Linked DNA regions of Drosophila melanogaster. The protein of the gene in region 1 purifies or fractionates together with the protein of each later gene. This does not show direct contact. Each region holds a gene or a part of one and is shown on either strand. Other genes may lie near its edges. The genes, in order: Sin1, unk and raptor.

Region 1 (4,279 bases):
ATTTGGTCACGCCAACAGCATCATCATCGCCATCAGACGAACGGCCTCAAATGTCGCGCATTTTGGCGTGATTTCGAGTCACTAACCTTGGCCTTAGAACGCGCTGCTGCAATCGCTTGGTTAGCCGACGCTGCAGATGCATATGCATGCAACGATCGTCTAACGGCAGTTAGCCATTATTCTCGACTACTCCACAGCTGTTAGCAGGCGACCTAGGCGCCCAACCCAGTCATCGCTGGCATTGCAAAACTAAAAATAAACAGCCAGACCGAAAACAATATGTGCAGTAATACGACTAACCGTTGGATCCGTCCCCGTCTGGTTGTCTGTGCGATTAATTGCACATTGATTACAGACAATTGCAGTGGGTAGAGTGAGAAAAACGGAAATGAAAACCAGATATACTGCTAAAAACGCGGCCAAATCGCGCGTGAATCGCTTCAAAACCGCAATGTAAACGCCAGCGGCAAGGCGGAAGCAAAAATGTAGAGATTACCGATTTTAAGTGTAAATTTTGCAATTTTATTTTCAGGACCAGGCTTCGTAGTTGGGTGAGTTCAATAAATACTTACAGGCTAGGCAAACATGTGTAACACAATCTTTAGTTAGCAACTAATACAACTTATCGAACAGGAGGCGGAGGCGGAGGCGGAGAAGTAGGCGGGGACGTTGCAGCGGCAGTGACAGTTGCCCGCCTGCTAGGCAAACGAGCGACAGCCGCTGCCATAGGAATAAATACTACAACTTCAGCTGCCTCTTCTCCTGCTTCCGATCGCGCTGCAAAAGGAACTCGCGCCTCAGATCGCTGGATCGCATCTCTAGTATGCAGTTCAGCTTGTTGTGGATCTGCTCCGCCGTGTGGGTGTCCGTATCGAAGTCGTAGTGCTTAAAGCGAATATTGCTGCTTGAAAAGAGTCCGGAAGAGTGACCCGGACTGCTGGGCGAGTGGGCAATCCCACCACTGCCGCTTCCCGCATTCAGTGTGGTTACGCTGGCGTTGATCGGCGCCGAAGTGCAGCCCGTGGAGAAGGAAGGGGACGAGGAGTTTGACTTCAGCCAGATGCGCAACAGAGCCTTCAGGTGGCGTCGCTCCAAAATCTCGCAGTGAGCAACAAAGTCAATGGGAGTGGATACGGGCTTCTTCTGCGGCCAGAACTTGGCATTCTTGCACTGATCGATCTCTATTCTCTCACCAGATATTCCCAGAGTCACATCGGATTTGAAGAACCTCTTGTCGATGATGTTGAGGCGGAAAGTACGATGCATGGGTGCTTCCAGCATATCGTTGTGATTCAACAATCGCTTCTCATACTCCTTGACATTATCGTGTGGACTATCGCCTCCTCCACCTCCTCCACCCGGATCACTAGTTCCTCCATTTAGGCTAATATTTTGCAGAGCCTTGACAGCCGCATCGGACAGAGCTGTCTTGTCTTCCACGGAAGTCATGGATTTACTGCCCAGCTGGCTGTGGTAATCAACTCGCGTCACTGGAGCCAATGGCCGACGCTCTGCGAGGGTCAGTTGGGAGAAGCCAAACTTAGAGCAGGGTTCGCGATTGTCCAACGGTGGGAAGTCTTCCATATCATCATTATCCTCTGTCATATACAAAGCGTAATGCTGCAGGGACTTCAAAGGAACGTCGGGATATTGTAAGGAGGTCCTGTAGCAGACAAAACCAATTACCTCCTGGATTTTGGCAGTGGCTACGACGCAGATCTTCAACGGGTAGTTGCGATCCGGCTCGGGAAGCATATTTAAAAACACGTTTATCCGTTTCGTTTGCATACCCACTTGGGAGGTGCCATCGAAGCGGGCGAATTCAATGAAGCGATTCTGTGCTTGCTTTGGACTTTTGGCCAACTGTTCAGTGAGCTGGCTCTGAACACCCTCATCTGACAGATCATCGTCGTTGGCTTTCGGTTCATTTTTAACTCGCTCAGCTTTGCTGAGGGGCAACTCTTTGCGTTTAAAGAAATCATCGCTCTCCGGTGGCTGCACTTCCTCCTGGTAGTTAACACTCTTGATGCGCGCCGCCCTTCGCTTGGCAATATCCAGTTTCTCTAGTTTTTGGGCAGTGTTGGAGCGAAAGCGGTGGGCGCCCACCTCCGGATACATTTGGATGTCAAAGGAGTGCGTGGACATGTCCTCCTCGTCGTCGCTGAGGTCCAGTCCCGGATAGCAGATGAAGTCCACTTCCTGGAGTGGCGCATCCGGATGCCGGGTGTTCCGCTCCGGTGTTGTCCCGCCCCCCGTCGGCGGTGTCTTGTGCGCCCGTCGCCAATGATAGTGATCTCCTCCAGCGCCCGAGTTACCGAATTTTCGCAAATAGTGTTTGGGCATGTCATCGCTCAGCATCACCGTCTCGCACATTCCGGTGTCGTCCGTGGATATGAAGGAGTTGCGGATGTGGGAGAGCAGCCAATGCTGGTTGGAGTAGGTCGCCATGGTAGTAAACAAAAGAAAATCTCTTTTTCAAAATTAATTTCTATTTATCTCAGCATCTCGGAAAAATGCACTAACGCCTTTGGATTATCTAGAGATGGAACATTGCGGTTGTTACTGGTCACTTTTTGGTGGTGGTAACGAATAGCACGCACAAGTCACCGTTCCCAACAGAACATAAGAGGAATACCTACTACATGAATATACTTAAATTATGCAATTAAGATAAAGGTTATACCAAGTACTTATTATCAAAGTAATATTTTGAATTTACATGCAAGTCTAGTTGTAGCGGTACTCGTTAAATCTGGTCTTTTTTCATTCAACGCAAACGGTCACTCTAGGCCACCATATGACTTTTTTCTGGACGCGAAAAATTGCCGAGTTACAGAATAAGTTAATTATAGTGAGTTTATCGTCGCCTGACCTGCCGTTTTTCGATGTCCACTTCTTGAGAACTCCCAATCGGATAGAGTCGATGTGCTAGCCAACGGCGAAATGGCGGGCATGGAGGTAGAATTCGACGAGACGGTGGCCAATCAGTTCAGCTGCAAGCGCTGCGACCGAGTAAGTGTGTGGGAAATGTCTCCTATTACCTCAATCTAACCACTATCCATTGATGCAGACCTTCAGAAGCAAGCGGGATCAGACGTTGCATCGACAAGAGGTGCACAACCACAACAAGACCACCTACGAGTGCAAGCTGTGCGCGAAGAGCTTCTGCAATTCGGGGAACCTGGATCGTCACATGAAGGTGCACAACGATGTGCGGCCTTTCGTGTGTAACATTTGCTCGAAGGCCTTCGCCCAGGCTGTGAACCTGCAGCGCCACTATGCGGTGCACAGCGGGGAGCGGCCATTCACCTGTAACTTCTGCAACAAGTCCTTCACCCAGCAGAGCAACATGAAGCGCCACAAGATGACACACACTGGCGAGAAGCCGTTCCGCTGCCAGCGATGCGGCAGGTACTTCTCCCAGCTGGTTAACCTCAAGAAACACAAGCTTGGCCACCTCAACGCCAAGCCCTACCAGTGTAATTACTGCGAGAAGGGCTTCACCCAGCTGTCAAACTTTAAGCGCCACTTGCAGTCGCACATAAAGGAGGGCGTCGATGTGGACGTGCCCGCCTCTATCCAGGCGGCTGCCGCCCTGGCCAGGGAACGGCTTGAGTCGGAGCAGAAACCGTGAGTACTTGCCGGCTGTAGAAGATCAAGGTGCCCTTTGATTAGTTCAACCTGTTCAGACCTACCTTAAGTTGCCTATTCGACACCGATTATCGACGGGTCATGATTAGATTCGGTGCTGATTAGTGTGCTTAACTGTGCTCATTTCCCTTTTATGAACAATTAATACTATATGCATTTTTGAAGGTGTACACGTTCCCAATCAATACTTTTATATATTAATTGACTAGCCTCAAAACTATCCTTGATCCTTCTACATTTGCTTGTTGTGAATTTTATTATTGAATTAAAACATTTCATTTTCAGAAGCTTTTTCGAATGCATGGTGTGTCGGGCCATCTTTGATACCTTCGCTGACTATGAGAAGCACGAAGCCAAGTGCCATGAGGACCACGAAAGGGCCCAGCTGGAGGTTAACCAGATGTCCCACATGCATCCAGACGACTATTTGCCCATGAAGTTTGCCGTGCCCGATCTGGATACGCACGAAATCATAATTGAGACTACACATTAGAAATGGCAATAATTTTAAATGAAATACCACGAAAACACACAACCCAACTCACACCTAAACATACAAATAGCGGCGATTCCGACGGAAAGATGGAATGTGAAGAATATTGCATTGAATATACAGATATGAATATAT
Region 2 (7,852 bases), on another chromosome or scaffold:
GGAGATTCATAAAGTAAATTAGCAAATCTTTCAAACTGTGTCTCCGGTGATGAGAGTCAGTGATATTCTGAGAGAGGTATGCATTCAGTTTTCAGTTTAGTTTGGTAATACACACAATAGATTTGCGACTCAACAGCTCCATTATAAAACCAATTTTCTCATTGTTTGTTCTCGTGATTTTTAGTTTTTTTGTGTACACTTGTATCATAAACTATTAAAGCATTTATAAGTTAACACACAATTGTTTATTGTTATATTTATTAATTATTTGTATTTCTTGCTGATTTGGCTTCTACAAAACATAGTACAAACACACACAGAGATAAGAGCCTTTGCGCTGCCTTTCCTAGTTAGCTTTGTAATAATATAATTCAGTTTTTCATTTGTATATATATATTCATAGTGTTGCTTTTGTTTCAAATAAATGCCTATGTTGATTTCATATTCATATTCAATTCATTCCCAGAACAGTTTCATTTTGATTACATCTTTATCAATTCAACTCAACTAGCTAACAACACGTTTCAGTTTCATTCAACATTGTCCAATTGATTACGTTTGATAATTTTAATTCGCAGAAAAATACAATGGTTTTTGAAGACGGTTTTACATTAACTCTGGTTAACATTTTCATTAAACTCTGTTCATTTCGCTGTATCGAGTTACTTTTATTGTTTATGCTTTCAACATCACACTCATCGAATCTGCGTTCAAATTTCCCATAAATATATATCTGTTCATATTCGTTCTTGTACAATCAGCCAAATGCTGGATTTAATATGACTTAAATACTACGTTTTGACATTGACGATTCATTTTATGCTTTTACTAATTTGGAAGCGTCCAGTTGAGACTATGAAAGTAAAATGAAAATTGAAGTCATCTGCAAAGTAAGTACTTAAAGCACTATTCAAATCACAAAGTAACCTAATAGATTATATACGTAAGTTGATAATTTTGTGACTGGTTAATTGGCATTGGCTTACACGAGCTGCACCAAGGCCTAAACAAAAATCAAAGTGTTTTAATACATTCAACTTGGTTTTCAATAAGACAAAATGAAATGAACTTTCGATAAGGAAAAGCGTTGTCGCCTTTAGTTACTTCTCGTTTCAACGTCTATAATTACTTTTGTGCATTTGAAAAAGGAAAATAAAAGCTGAGTACTGACTAATATTGATTACCCGTCAGTTACATTGATTTTATGACCATTGTCTTGGCTTTTAGTTGTAGTTTGCATTCACAAGTTTGAAACACATACATAAAAAATACAGTTTGAAAATCGGCTTATATAAAATCACTGGTGGTATTTGTTTGTTTGTGGTTGTTTTCTGCTCTTCTATGCGACAATATATTGTTAAATTTGTTGGTTTCTATAAATTTGTTAATAGTCAATTGCTAAAAGTGTCTAGAAAAATTAATATATTATATATTTATATATCTTTCATTCAATTACATCTTGTAATTGTTTAGTTCTCATAATTTCTTATGTAATACTAGTGAAAAGTACAATATGACTGAAAGTGTAGCATATTTAAATACAAATATAGAGATACATATGTGGTTAAAAAAAAAATAAATGAGACATTGCAAATTCGTGCAGTAGATTAGAAAATATGTATGCCTAAACATTGAATATTAAACAAAATTAAAAGAGTTGGTTACATAAATCATAGTACAAAATCAATTTAAAATGTTTTTTCCTGTATTCGATTCGATATGAGAAAAAATAAACAAAAATAAAATTACATACTTATTCGTTTAGAGCAGCTAGCTAATTCAATTAATAGTTTGTGCCTAGTAATTACTAATATTCATGACGATAATTTGCATATTTTGAGTAGATTGAAAACATAAATTATATATTCCCTGCCACATGCACAATTAGTAGGCATGTGTCAAATCCTAACTGTTCAAAAGTTTCAACGTTTTGCTTAAGACTAAAGTTTGCTTTGTGAGTACCACATTGTCATGCTGTTCGCGGTCTTGATCCCCATGATCCATTCATATCCCATCGGAATCCCCTTTCCCATCCCTATCCGATTTTCAGCCAAAGGGCCACTTGTGGTCCTGTTGCTGATAAAACATGTTCTAGGTGTGGGTGGTTATTACCGGCACCTGACAGTAGGGACACTCGGTGACCGATTCAGCGCATGTATTGCAAATAGACAGGTGGTTGCACGGCTCCAGAGTAACCGTGCGATTGTTCTCCTCGCACTTCATGCACTTCTTGGCATTTTCTAAATATAATACTTTGTCGACCTCCTCCAAGTCGGTGCGCAGCTTGGACTAAAATGGTAGCAGGTTAAAACCCATGGAATTGGGAAATTAATTAAGCGACTAACCTGCAATTGCTTCAATTTCTGTATGGACAAGTCCCGAAGCTCTGCTGGCAAATTTAGCTGTATCTGTGCTAGGTCATAGCGCTCCTTCCACTCCTGCGCCTCCTGCTTGGCCTTGTCCCGATGGAGCTCCGCGATCTTTAGCTTGCATGCCATGTCCTCGAAACGTCCGTTCAACTTGTGAATTTGAGCATTCTTCGTGAGCAGCTCATTGGTGATGCGACCCAAGTCGCTGTTGTTTTGCGACTGCAGAGATTGAAGGCTAAACGCATTCTTGGCCGTATTGAGAGTGTTCTCGAACAGACTATTTCCCACCGAGCTGCTGTTGATGTCGTCGCGTATGGTATTCAATTCGGATATCCTTACCGAAGGACTAATCGACAAGCCATCGCCAAAGCCAGGCGATATGATGCGCGACGGAAAGAAGAGACTGCTATCGTTCTGGGTGGCCGAAAGGGAATTGCTGAGTTTGTTTGAGCCGCCATAGTTGAAGGCGTCCACGTTGAAGAGATTGGCATGGTTGGTGGGACTGTAGGTGAGCGAGCTGCTGGGAATGTTGACGGCAAAGCTACCTGAGTTAAAATCTGTGCAAATGGAATGGAGTATTAGCATTAGCAATTAGTTGGCACTCATAGGACGTTGATGACTACTTACCGTTAATTGAGTTACTTAGAGTCGTATTAGGAATGTTAATTGGCGCCGAGGAACGTGTTAATAAGCTAGTATTGGCCAGACTCGCCGACAATGAGTTCTCGCGCGGATCGTCCATTGAGCAAGCTGCTTGCAAAGAGTGAAGACAAAAAATTATTGAATTTCAGTTAGGCTAGGGGTCACGACATTTGCTATCTAAGCGCTGACATTCTTTGTCCACAACCAAAACGAAGAACTGATTTCTAGTGTATAACTTAGACGTACGCATGTCAGGACTCTGGGATACTCACAACGACTGTCCAGGGGTCGTGAGAAACTTAAAAATTTGCTGAAATTTGTTGTGTTTTCCAAAGCGTCTACCAACATTTTATTGGTGCTATTACCATCAATGTTCAACAACTAAGAGAACAAAACGAAAAGAAAAAAATCGAGGAGAGCAGGACACATGATTAAATGGCTTATCGAAAGTGTTAAGCAGTTAGTTGATGATGGTTAGCTGGATTAGAGCGGCAAACGATGTGTGGTAGTACGTTTAGGTTTAGGCGATGCAAATCGATGGCGTTATTTGGATGAGTGTTATTGCTTCGGTAATACGTACATTATCGACCCTTTGAAACGCATCCTGAGCTTTTAAATCAGGATAGGCATTGGAAATAAGCTCGTTTAGGTATACCGTGTGATCCCGCGTCTTCTCGTCAATTGAACATGCTTTATTTGGATTGGGAGTAGTTACATGGACAAGCAACACCGAGCGGCAAAGCAAACATTGATTGATGTACGTGTTTTCAAAGGATTTGAGTGATAGTTGGAAACAGATTTGCGGTTTGATGGATGAGGCGAGTAAAAGACAAACATTAAGTTAGAACTGTAATATCATAACTTGGCCCTAAACACATCCCTACAACAACTGGTTGTGGAGCACAACGCTGAGTCCTATATATTAGCTCATCGAATCCTCTATACTTACGTTCCACATGGGCAAAGGCGCAGAAGACGCTGCGCGGACAGTATCCGGCCTGCTGGACATCGTTGCACTTGGTCGACTTGTAGATCTCCGGGTGGAACTGCTGCTCGGTGCGTGTGTGGCAGTACTGGCAGTTATCGCCGGCCTCGCAGTTGCCCGGTTCTCCCCATTCCTCGCCGTGCTTGACATTGGGGCAAGGAGTGGACCTAAAACAATGGTATATCGCGGTTTAAAACTGACTTTAGGATGAATTCAGGGGAAATCTTACCTGTACTTGTATTTTCTGGGCGAGCGACGTTTGTCCTTGCTATTGTGGTACTGTGGACAAGCGTATCCTTGGCGGCACAGGCGCGGTGGGCGCTTGCAGGGCTCTGTCTTGTAATTGGCCAGCACGTAGTTGGTGTCCTGCCACTTGGGATCCTCGTTCATCAAATTGCGCTCCTTGTCCAGGGCATTCAAAGCATTAGTGCTGTCCAGTGTGCTCTCTGCGTTCTGCAGGGTCTCCAGCTCTTTGATGTCATAAACCGGTGGGCGCTGGTCCTGCATGCCGTGGGCGAAGGCGCAGTGTAGTCCATTCTTGACGCAGTATCCTCGGCTGTCGGTGTCGTGGACGCACATGCATGTCTTGTAGTAGCGCAGATGGTATCGCCTTTCGGTGTCGCCAGCAGTGCGGTGTAAGTAGGGGCATCTAAATGGGGAGAAAGGGAGTTTTAGTGACGTCAAAGCAGGCGACGAGGCTAAGTGAATGGACTGTATGATACCCATTAATTAAAAAGAACCGTAACAAAAAACAACAAAGTTGTACATTTACAGCAAAATCATCATTTTAATACATGTTTGAGGGTATTTCTTTAATAAGTAAAAGAAATTTCTCTTTCAAAACTAAAACCGCTTTCTTTCCACCTTCGTACCCTGTAAGGAGACTACAACGATAAATGGATAGAATGGAGGTCGGGGTCAGAGGTTGGACCTCGAGTCTGGGTCATAAAAACAGACATTGTTGTTGTCTCTCGCAAAGCGTAATTGCGTTTTACTTTTAGCCCGTTCTTACACTTCACAGAGCTTTTCTCCAAAGCTCGCCAGCCACAATAACTGTACATTTCGAAGCTGCCGGGGGAAAATCAAAATAAACGAAGAAGAAAACACGCAAAAGCGAAACGCAATAAAAACAATGACGCACACACTTGTAGCGATGCCCTACGTCTGTGCGTGTGTTTGTTTGTGCGTACCTGTGTGTATGCGAGCGTCTGTGCATGTATACATGCGACAAGAGAGCAACAACCACCACAAAACGGATGCTGATAAGAATTTGCTAGCCCACTAGAGCTGGAATCACTTTCACTTTTGCACGGTGGTGACCTCGCCTGCACACACATACACATGCACAGAGATACAGCAAGCAGCACGCCCACATACGCACTTACAATTTCACTTTTGGCTTTCCAGACAACGCCAGGCCCCTGCCACCGCCCCCACCACACCCCCCTGCACACAAACACACTATGGTTTTTGTTTGTAAACACGAAGACAAGAGATACACACACATCGCGAAGGAAGGAGAGCGCAAAGAGGAAACAAAAAAAATACAACGTCGTTCGCTATTGCTGTCTCATCCATCCTCCGCCACTGCAATCGTCCCGTCCAGCGTTTTCACGGGCCATCAGAAACTATGAATTTCACAACATTTCTACTCACTCGTCGCCCTCGGGACAAATCCCAGTGGTCTCGTCGTATTTGGTGCAATAGTTATCCGCACTGTAGTTGAAGGTGCCATCGCGTTTTCGCACTGGACGACGCCGACGCTGGTTTTGAAAATGCCAATTGAAACAGACGAAGGGGCGATGCTGGTTGCACTTGTGCTGTAAAAACGACTGGCACTGCTCCACGCGGAACTCCTTCAGGTAGCTGAAACGGTTGGCGGAAAGGTTGCACGTCAAATTAACCATCGTTTGCATTAGTTAGCATCTATTTACGTGTAGTGATTTGGTTTTTCCTGCTGCGAGGAAAGCAGCAGCTTGTTCGTTTCATTTGCCAACATCGTTGTTAGTGATGTGCAAAAAACATCGGTGCGTCGGGCATCCATGGCCTTAAGTCGATTGATATCGATAATTTTTGTCGGCATCGTCCATATCGATTGGTTAGCAAATACACACACCCCAGTTGATGGGTGGTTAGCCGGGACGCAAACGAAACAAATTTGGCGCCAAAATTAATGCGAAATTGTTATGCATGTGTTTTATTTATAACAACGCCTATATATTATAACACACATTTCAAAGGGAAAACATTTCGAAGAAGGAAAGCAAAAGCGTTTCTAGTCCAAGGGTATGGGAATGAAGGCGTTGATTCTGTCCGTCTGTCGCTGCGCTATGCATTCGCTAATCCAGACGATATTGCGTACCTCCAACTGTTTAAGTTTAATGAACGAGTAGAAGATCCCGAAATGGTACTGCTGCAGGAAGGTCTGCACATTCTTCTTGGCCTCCATCATGAGAAAGCGGTCCTCCAGCGTAATCATGCCGTCCGAGTCGCGCTCCAAATTGTCAAACATTTTGCCATAGCCATCGAACACATTGCAAACATCCCTTATTTTATCCGTATCATTTAAAGTGGACATGGAGGCCAAGGCTATTTTGGGCAGGTAGCCACAGGTGGGGAACATCTTTAGACGCTCCTTCGGTCTGAGTGTTGGAAGGTGGGCATTATGAGTATAATATGAAGAATTTCATAGCAACACAGATATCTTACATGATATCACTGCCAATAGCGTTCACAGCTATTGTAATGGTCCGACGATCCGCCTCGAAGGACAATAGATTGGTCATCACGTTGGCGGTATTGCCGCCCAGTTGGCTGCAATAGGCGTAGAATTTCTCCAAATAAGCACGATACAGATGGGCACGCACAATCTCCACGTCGAGGTAACGCAACGACTCCATGGGCAAATCGCGTGGCACAAACCGAGCGATGGGCGTGTCAATTAGAACGGCGTCGAAGAGCTCCGCAGAATTCGAGGCCACTTCGATGGCGCCCAGTTGATCGAATTCGCCCAGCGGATGACACATTCTTAGCAGACGCTTCATGGATCGGTGATTGTTTAGGCCAGCGACCAGAAGCGCCACATTATCGATCATGAACGGATATCGTATGAACTCCATAAAGGTGGTCAGCGGCTCCGTCGAATGACTGCGTATGTAGTAGTATTGCTGCAGCAGACGATCCCTAAGGCATCTTTCGATCACCTCAACGGACGGCGCTGATTGTTCGCCACCAAAGATGAGACCGTAATCCGTGCCCTGGATGCTGATCATTACGTCCTCGAGGGATTCACACTGGGTCAGATTTAGATAGTCCGAGTGCTTTAGCATGCCGTTCTTGAATCCGCGCGTTAGGGCCTCCAGGTAGCCATACTCCGTGTTGAATATCATCGACATTTTGACTTATTATTATTTTCGAGCTATCTATTAGTAGGAATTCACACGCCAGGCAACTTTTAAGTGAAAGCAGAAATTGATAGATGGAACATGCGGTGATAGGTATTTCTCGGATGAACTGATTCTGATATAAATACTAAGGATTCTAGATGCTAAAATAATATTTATTAAGCTACAAATATATTTATATATAATATTTAAATATTCGGTGGCGGTATCTACCGATGCACGCTAGATGGCGCTACCGATGGTGCAAGGCTGCCATTCGTTTATCCTTTTTGACAATATGGCAGCGCTCTAACGGTTTTTTAAATTTTAACTTTAAATTTGAAAAGATATTATTTGTTTGGTTTGTTCGTTTTAAAGTGCATCCAACTAGATTATTTTAGTTATAAGAAAATGCACCTAGTTAAAGCTTGCTATTTGAATTTCAGATAGCTATTTATCGGCCCATTCTAACG
Region 3 (4,694 bases), on another chromosome or scaffold:
GACCAGCGGCGACATATCCTCGCCGACGGTTTCGAGCATGGTAATGGCAATGATGCGATCGATATTATTGGCCTGTTCCTCGCTACGATCCGTCACGGAGCTAATAAATGTGCCTAAGGCGAAGACGGCAGCGGCTCTCACTTCCGGTATCGAGTCCCGCAGCAGTACGTACAGCTTCTCGTGCGCCAGGTCGCGTGCTCCCGACCAACGCGCCTTCTCAAAGTTCTGCCACAGCATGCCCAGACAGATGGCTAGCCACTGGCGCAGCAGCCAACTTCCGTCGTTCAACTGCTCAAGGCAAATAGACAGTAGGGGACCTTGAAGCGCGCTCGTCTGTCCCAGCAGGAAGTTGTGCACTATGGAGGACAATACAAAGGCGGACAGTGTACGGTGCTCCTTGGAAACGGAGGTGTCCTGCAGCACGGAGAGGAAGTACTTGTATTCCTTGACCAGATCCACCTGGCAGCTGGGATCCACGGCCAGGATCTTGGCCCAAATGAACACCAAAACGGGTCGCAGTTCGCGCGTAGAACTCTGCAGCAGTTTAAGCACGTATGGAAAGATGCCCACGCCCAGGGCGAGATTAACGGCCCACGGACCAAGATCCAGAAAGCGAGCCAGCAGCTCCAAGGCCCTCAGACGGTGCACCTGCGACAGTAGGACCTGCAGCACAATGGGCAGCTGTTCCGGTGGCGTTCTCGACTCCGATTCGCTGTCCAGCCAAACCTGGAAGGCCGTGAGCTGGTGCTCGAAGAATGGCAGCTGGCGGTACGGCGCATTGTGATCGAGAATCTCCGGCAGCTGCTGTAGAGCCAAATCTACCACCAGATCCCAGGCCTTCCACATCGGATGGCGATAACAAGGCGGCAGGGCAGGCAGGGAAACTGGTGTGCAGTCGTGGCTTCGCAGAATGCGCTCGGCCAACAGGAAATTGCGGAACAAGCTGGCCACCAGCAGATCCTGGCGAAACAGGCGCTGAAAGAGCTCGCGAGGAAGTGTGTTCCATGCTATCGTGTCCGTAATGGCGGTGAAGATCCAGTTAAGCTCACCCATCATAGTGCGCCGGTCGTTGACCTTGCCTGCGATAGAATTTAATGGTTAACAGCATTCCCTGGGTGAGTAAAGGTATAACCTTACCTGGAATCTTGTCGATCAGTTCGCTCTGAATACGCGGTACCATGCCCAGCTTTTCTTGCATGGCGTACCACTTGAGCGCTATGTTAATGGGTGTTGTCAGACAGCTGGTGAAAAGATCCGCCGGCAGCTGTGCATTCATCGGAAGAATCTCGTTTGCAGCACAGGCAGCCAGGTGTATACAGTTCTTGTAACTGACCATCTGGTTGGTTAACTGCACCTGGTTGGCGGCTACGTTGGCGGCACCACCAGAGCCGCCCACTAACTGTTGGACACCACCCCTCTGCTGGGCGGCGGCCAGCGCCTTCCCTAGTTCTTCCTCGTGCTGTTTAGCGTATGGCTGAAACGAATTGATGATGATCCCGGCGTTGGAGCAGTCATACACGTAGATGGAGGGCGCTGACATCCAAGTGATAAGCTCGAATATGCTCAGGGGGATGTACTGCGTGAAGGTCTTGTTGAACACCCAGATCTCCCCGTTGGCTGTGGGCTTGGGCACTCCGTGTCCGTTGTAGTGGAAGAGTATGCGCTCCCCCTTGGCGTTCCGGCGTAGGGAGGTGCAGAGCTTCTTAACGTCATCCACGGTGGGATCGTTGCACTTCTTGTACCGGGCCCTTGGCTGCCAGCGTTCGTACTGCATCTGCAGGTTGCTTCCAATGAGTTCCATGGCCTTTGGCGGGGACACCGAGCTGGGATCTATCCAGCACTCTAGCCGTGAGCAGGGTTGGATCTTGACCACGTCCGGCGGATCCACGCCGATGTTGAGGCACAGAACCAGGGCCACACTTGCCGTCTTCATGCGCTCGCGGATGCGCCACGGCTGTCTCTCGTACATCATGGCCTGGATGCGCTCCTTGTGCCTTTTAGTCTGCAGGGAGAGCGGGCACCTGTCGTCGCGGATACGCTCGCCGAAGCATAAGCTCCGAGCGGGCGGCATGCCCAGGATCTGTATTTCCTTCAACCGCAGTTTGATAGAGTCGTCCCGGGGCCATTCCTTTCTGATAGTCCGGATTAGCTCCCTCAAAGAACCGAGGGAGGCCAGTTCCTGGCCGTTGGAGGCCTGAATGTCGGATATTTGCTCGATGTGCTTCACGATTGGTACCAGTGATTGGTCCTGCCTCATGTTGCTAATCACCTTACCCAGGTCGTTCAGAGAGTCGTCCTGAGATGGGTCCCGGCCGATGGCCACCTGGTTCCCCAAGGCGGCGGATCGACAGTGCTCGATGTGCTCCAGTTGCTCCATTATCAAGATTATCGGATCGTCCCACGGGGCGAATACATATTTCTCGTATCTCTTGCGGATTAGGACGCTCAGGACGGCCTCCTTGCTGGAGGCCACCTCTTGATCCGCGACGCTGCCGTTGCTGCTGCCGCTGCTTTCGTCGACTGCGACGCCGACTGCGGCAGCGGCGGACTTAGCGCGAACGGCACTTGTCATGTTCTGCGTGCTTTTTGTTTCTCTCGTTTCTCGCTGTATTGCTTTTTTTCTTTTTCCGTTTGCCGAGGAGAGGGTGCAGCTCAATGCGAGCGATTTCCCGGAGCGATTACGTCTCGGTCGCGGATTCAATCAGCTAAAAATCCCCCCGAGGGGACTCTAGCACATAACCCCAAACACTTTTCGCACTTTCCGCACCTCCACCACCGCCAGCGCCTCCTCAGCTCCGCTCCGCGCTTTTCTGCTTTTCTTTCCACGTTCCTCTTCTCCACGTTTTCCGCCTACGGATCGCGGACCATTTCCCGAAAACGGGTAAAAAGAACTCGGGGAAAACACGCCGCCTGGGCTGATTAGGTCGATGCCGGGACAAAATAAAAACCGTACAACTATAGCGAGCGATCTCCGACGGAAGATGGTGCGCATTAACAGGTTTATTTACTTTCGCTTGGGTTTATTTATTTATGTTTAATCGAATTATATTATACGAAAAGAATTGCGCAGAAAATAGAGCTGGAACAAAAATCGATGATTTTTTCGATTGCACGCTGGCAAGCGGTTTACAACATTGATATCGATAATAAACTAACAGCGAAATGGCCTAGCTGTAATGAATGGCGTTGCCAGATCATTACAAGCTCATTTGTAGCGCGTAATTCAAAAGTTTGTTTTGGTTACATTGACAGAAAAAACTAAAGGACTGCTCACCCGCAAAACAGGATCCTCGTGCAAAGGCGGCGGATATCGTACAGTATGGATGCGATGACGGCCGAACAAACCCGTAGCGAAGCTTTCCGCACTTTTCAGCGTTCTCTGGGTCGCAGTATACTTGAAGTAGTACCACTCCGGATTGTACAACTCCGGAAGTAGATCCGGAAATCGCCGCTGCATCCGTTCCGCCAGCTCAATCAGCTCATCCTCACCCTCGGCCACCAGTAATTTCTCATCTTCAGTGGCATTCAGATGCATCCAGTGCCATTGGCGCAGCTTTTCCAATTCAGCGGTGCAGATCGGCGGCTTCGTCTGATCCAGAATGCGTTTCTTTATCTCTGATAGTCGATTTTGCGCCTGAAGGATAACGGATTCGCTAGGATTTCTAGTTCCGTGTCGGATGATGGTCCAAATTCGCGTCGGATGGCAGCCTTGTCGGGTGAAACGGTTAAAAGAGAAAAATCAGCTGTTCCATTGCCATTTGCTAGCAGTAGGCATCGGTAATAATAAACTAGTAATAGTATAATAACAAATCTAAAGCGATTCTCTGTTTTATGATCAATAAAGAATCCATATGCTTTCATGATTATGAATTCACTGTATTAAGCGAGCGCTGTTAACTGTCACATGGCACAACACATGTTTGTATTTCTAAGCGGGTGCCTACTGTGGGTGCGTTACACAGAAAACAACAAAAATACAAACCGGCGTATTTCGGTGGCGTTTCGTCATAATTTGCGATCGCTCTGTAGGGCGTCTTTGTGGACAGTCTGCCCTCGATATCTGCGCGATTAAGGCGGCGGCACTCCCCCTCTTCAGACAACGTCACGCCCACGAAGAAGTGGAGGAGCAACAAAAACAAGCAGTAAAATTGGCTTAGCATCTTTCCGGGCGGTGGAAAAACTTGTCACGAGATTAGAAACGAGGTTTACCGAAAAACGGGGTTAAAACGTGAAAAACAGAACGAAATGCCAGCTCAAAAGAAATCTAGGAAATAATAAACACGAAAGAAAAACAAATTGACAAGTGTGCTAGTCGCGCAAGGTGGCAAGGCTATCAGCTCAGCTGGCAGCCCTAACACATGGGGCAGCCAAAAAAAACCCGTTTCCACCGCCAGTTGGCGGTATTTTTAAATAGCATCTTCGATGGCATCAGTTGTAAGTGCTTGGTTGATTACTCATTTCAGGAAGCTTTATTAACACTATTTTATAATAAATTTAGTTAGATTTGCAGGTGCCTAAATCAGCGCATTGCCACTCAACAAGTGTTCACTTCGCCCAATCGAGCTTTCTGCCTCAAAAAGCTCTGTTTTAACCGGCCCGGCAAACTAAGCGATTAAAAAATGGTTTAGTCGCACGCCAAACACGCAAAAGGAATAAGCGTTGGCAAGGGAAGCATTTTGAATATCCTGTCCAAG

What was found.
Region 2: the proteins of Sin1 (region 1) and unk purify together in Drosophila melanogaster (affinity purification with mass spectrometry; one large-scale study listed by BioGRID). This does not show direct contact.
Region 3: the proteins of Sin1 (region 1) and raptor purify together in Drosophila melanogaster (affinity purification with mass spectrometry, with the first as the bait; one large-scale study listed by BioGRID). This does not show direct contact.

The regions. Positions count from the first base shown.
Region 1 is NT_033778.4:14,410,076-14,414,354, reverse strand, and holds Sin1 (SAPK-interacting protein 1), read right to left. Parts: upstream 2,531-4,279; 5' UTR 2,449-2,530; coding exon 739-2,448; 3' UTR 504-738; downstream 1-503. Other genes in the region: CG17385 (uncharacterized protein), read left to right, coding at 2,944-3,012, 3,071-3,630, 3,937-4,144. UniProt on the Drosophila melanogaster protein: Component of the target of rapamycin complex 2 (TORC2), which transduces signals from growth factors to pathways involved in proliferation, cytoskeletal organization and anabolic output.
Region 2 is NT_033777.3:23,151,849-23,159,700, forward strand, and holds unk (unkempt), read right to left. Parts: upstream 6,015-7,852; 5' UTR 5,996-6,014; coding exon 5,931-5,995; intron 5,863-5,930; coding exon 5,653-5,862; intron 4,646-5,652; coding exon 4,226-4,645; intron 4,164-4,225; coding exon 3,961-4,163; intron 3,702-3,960; coding exon 3,592-3,701; intron 3,393-3,591; coding exon 3,284-3,392; intron 3,123-3,283; coding exon 2,997-3,122; intron 2,927-2,996; coding exon 2,346-2,926; intron 2,290-2,345; coding exon 2,092-2,289; 3' UTR 244-2,091; downstream 1-243. Other genes in the region: VhaAC39-2 (vacuolar H[+] ATPase AC39 subunit 2), read right to left, coding at 6,272-6,638, 6,706-7,391. UniProt on the Drosophila melanogaster protein: Essential for late larval/early pupal development.
Region 3 is NC_004354.4:6,087,135-6,091,828, forward strand, and holds the start of raptor (raptor), read right to left. Parts: upstream 3,068-4,694; 5' UTR 2,573-3,067; coding exon 1,138-2,572; intron 1,080-1,137; coding exon 1-1,079. Other genes in the region: Mipp2 (multiple inositol polyphosphate phosphatase 2), read right to left, coding at 3,275-3,708, 3,983-4,160.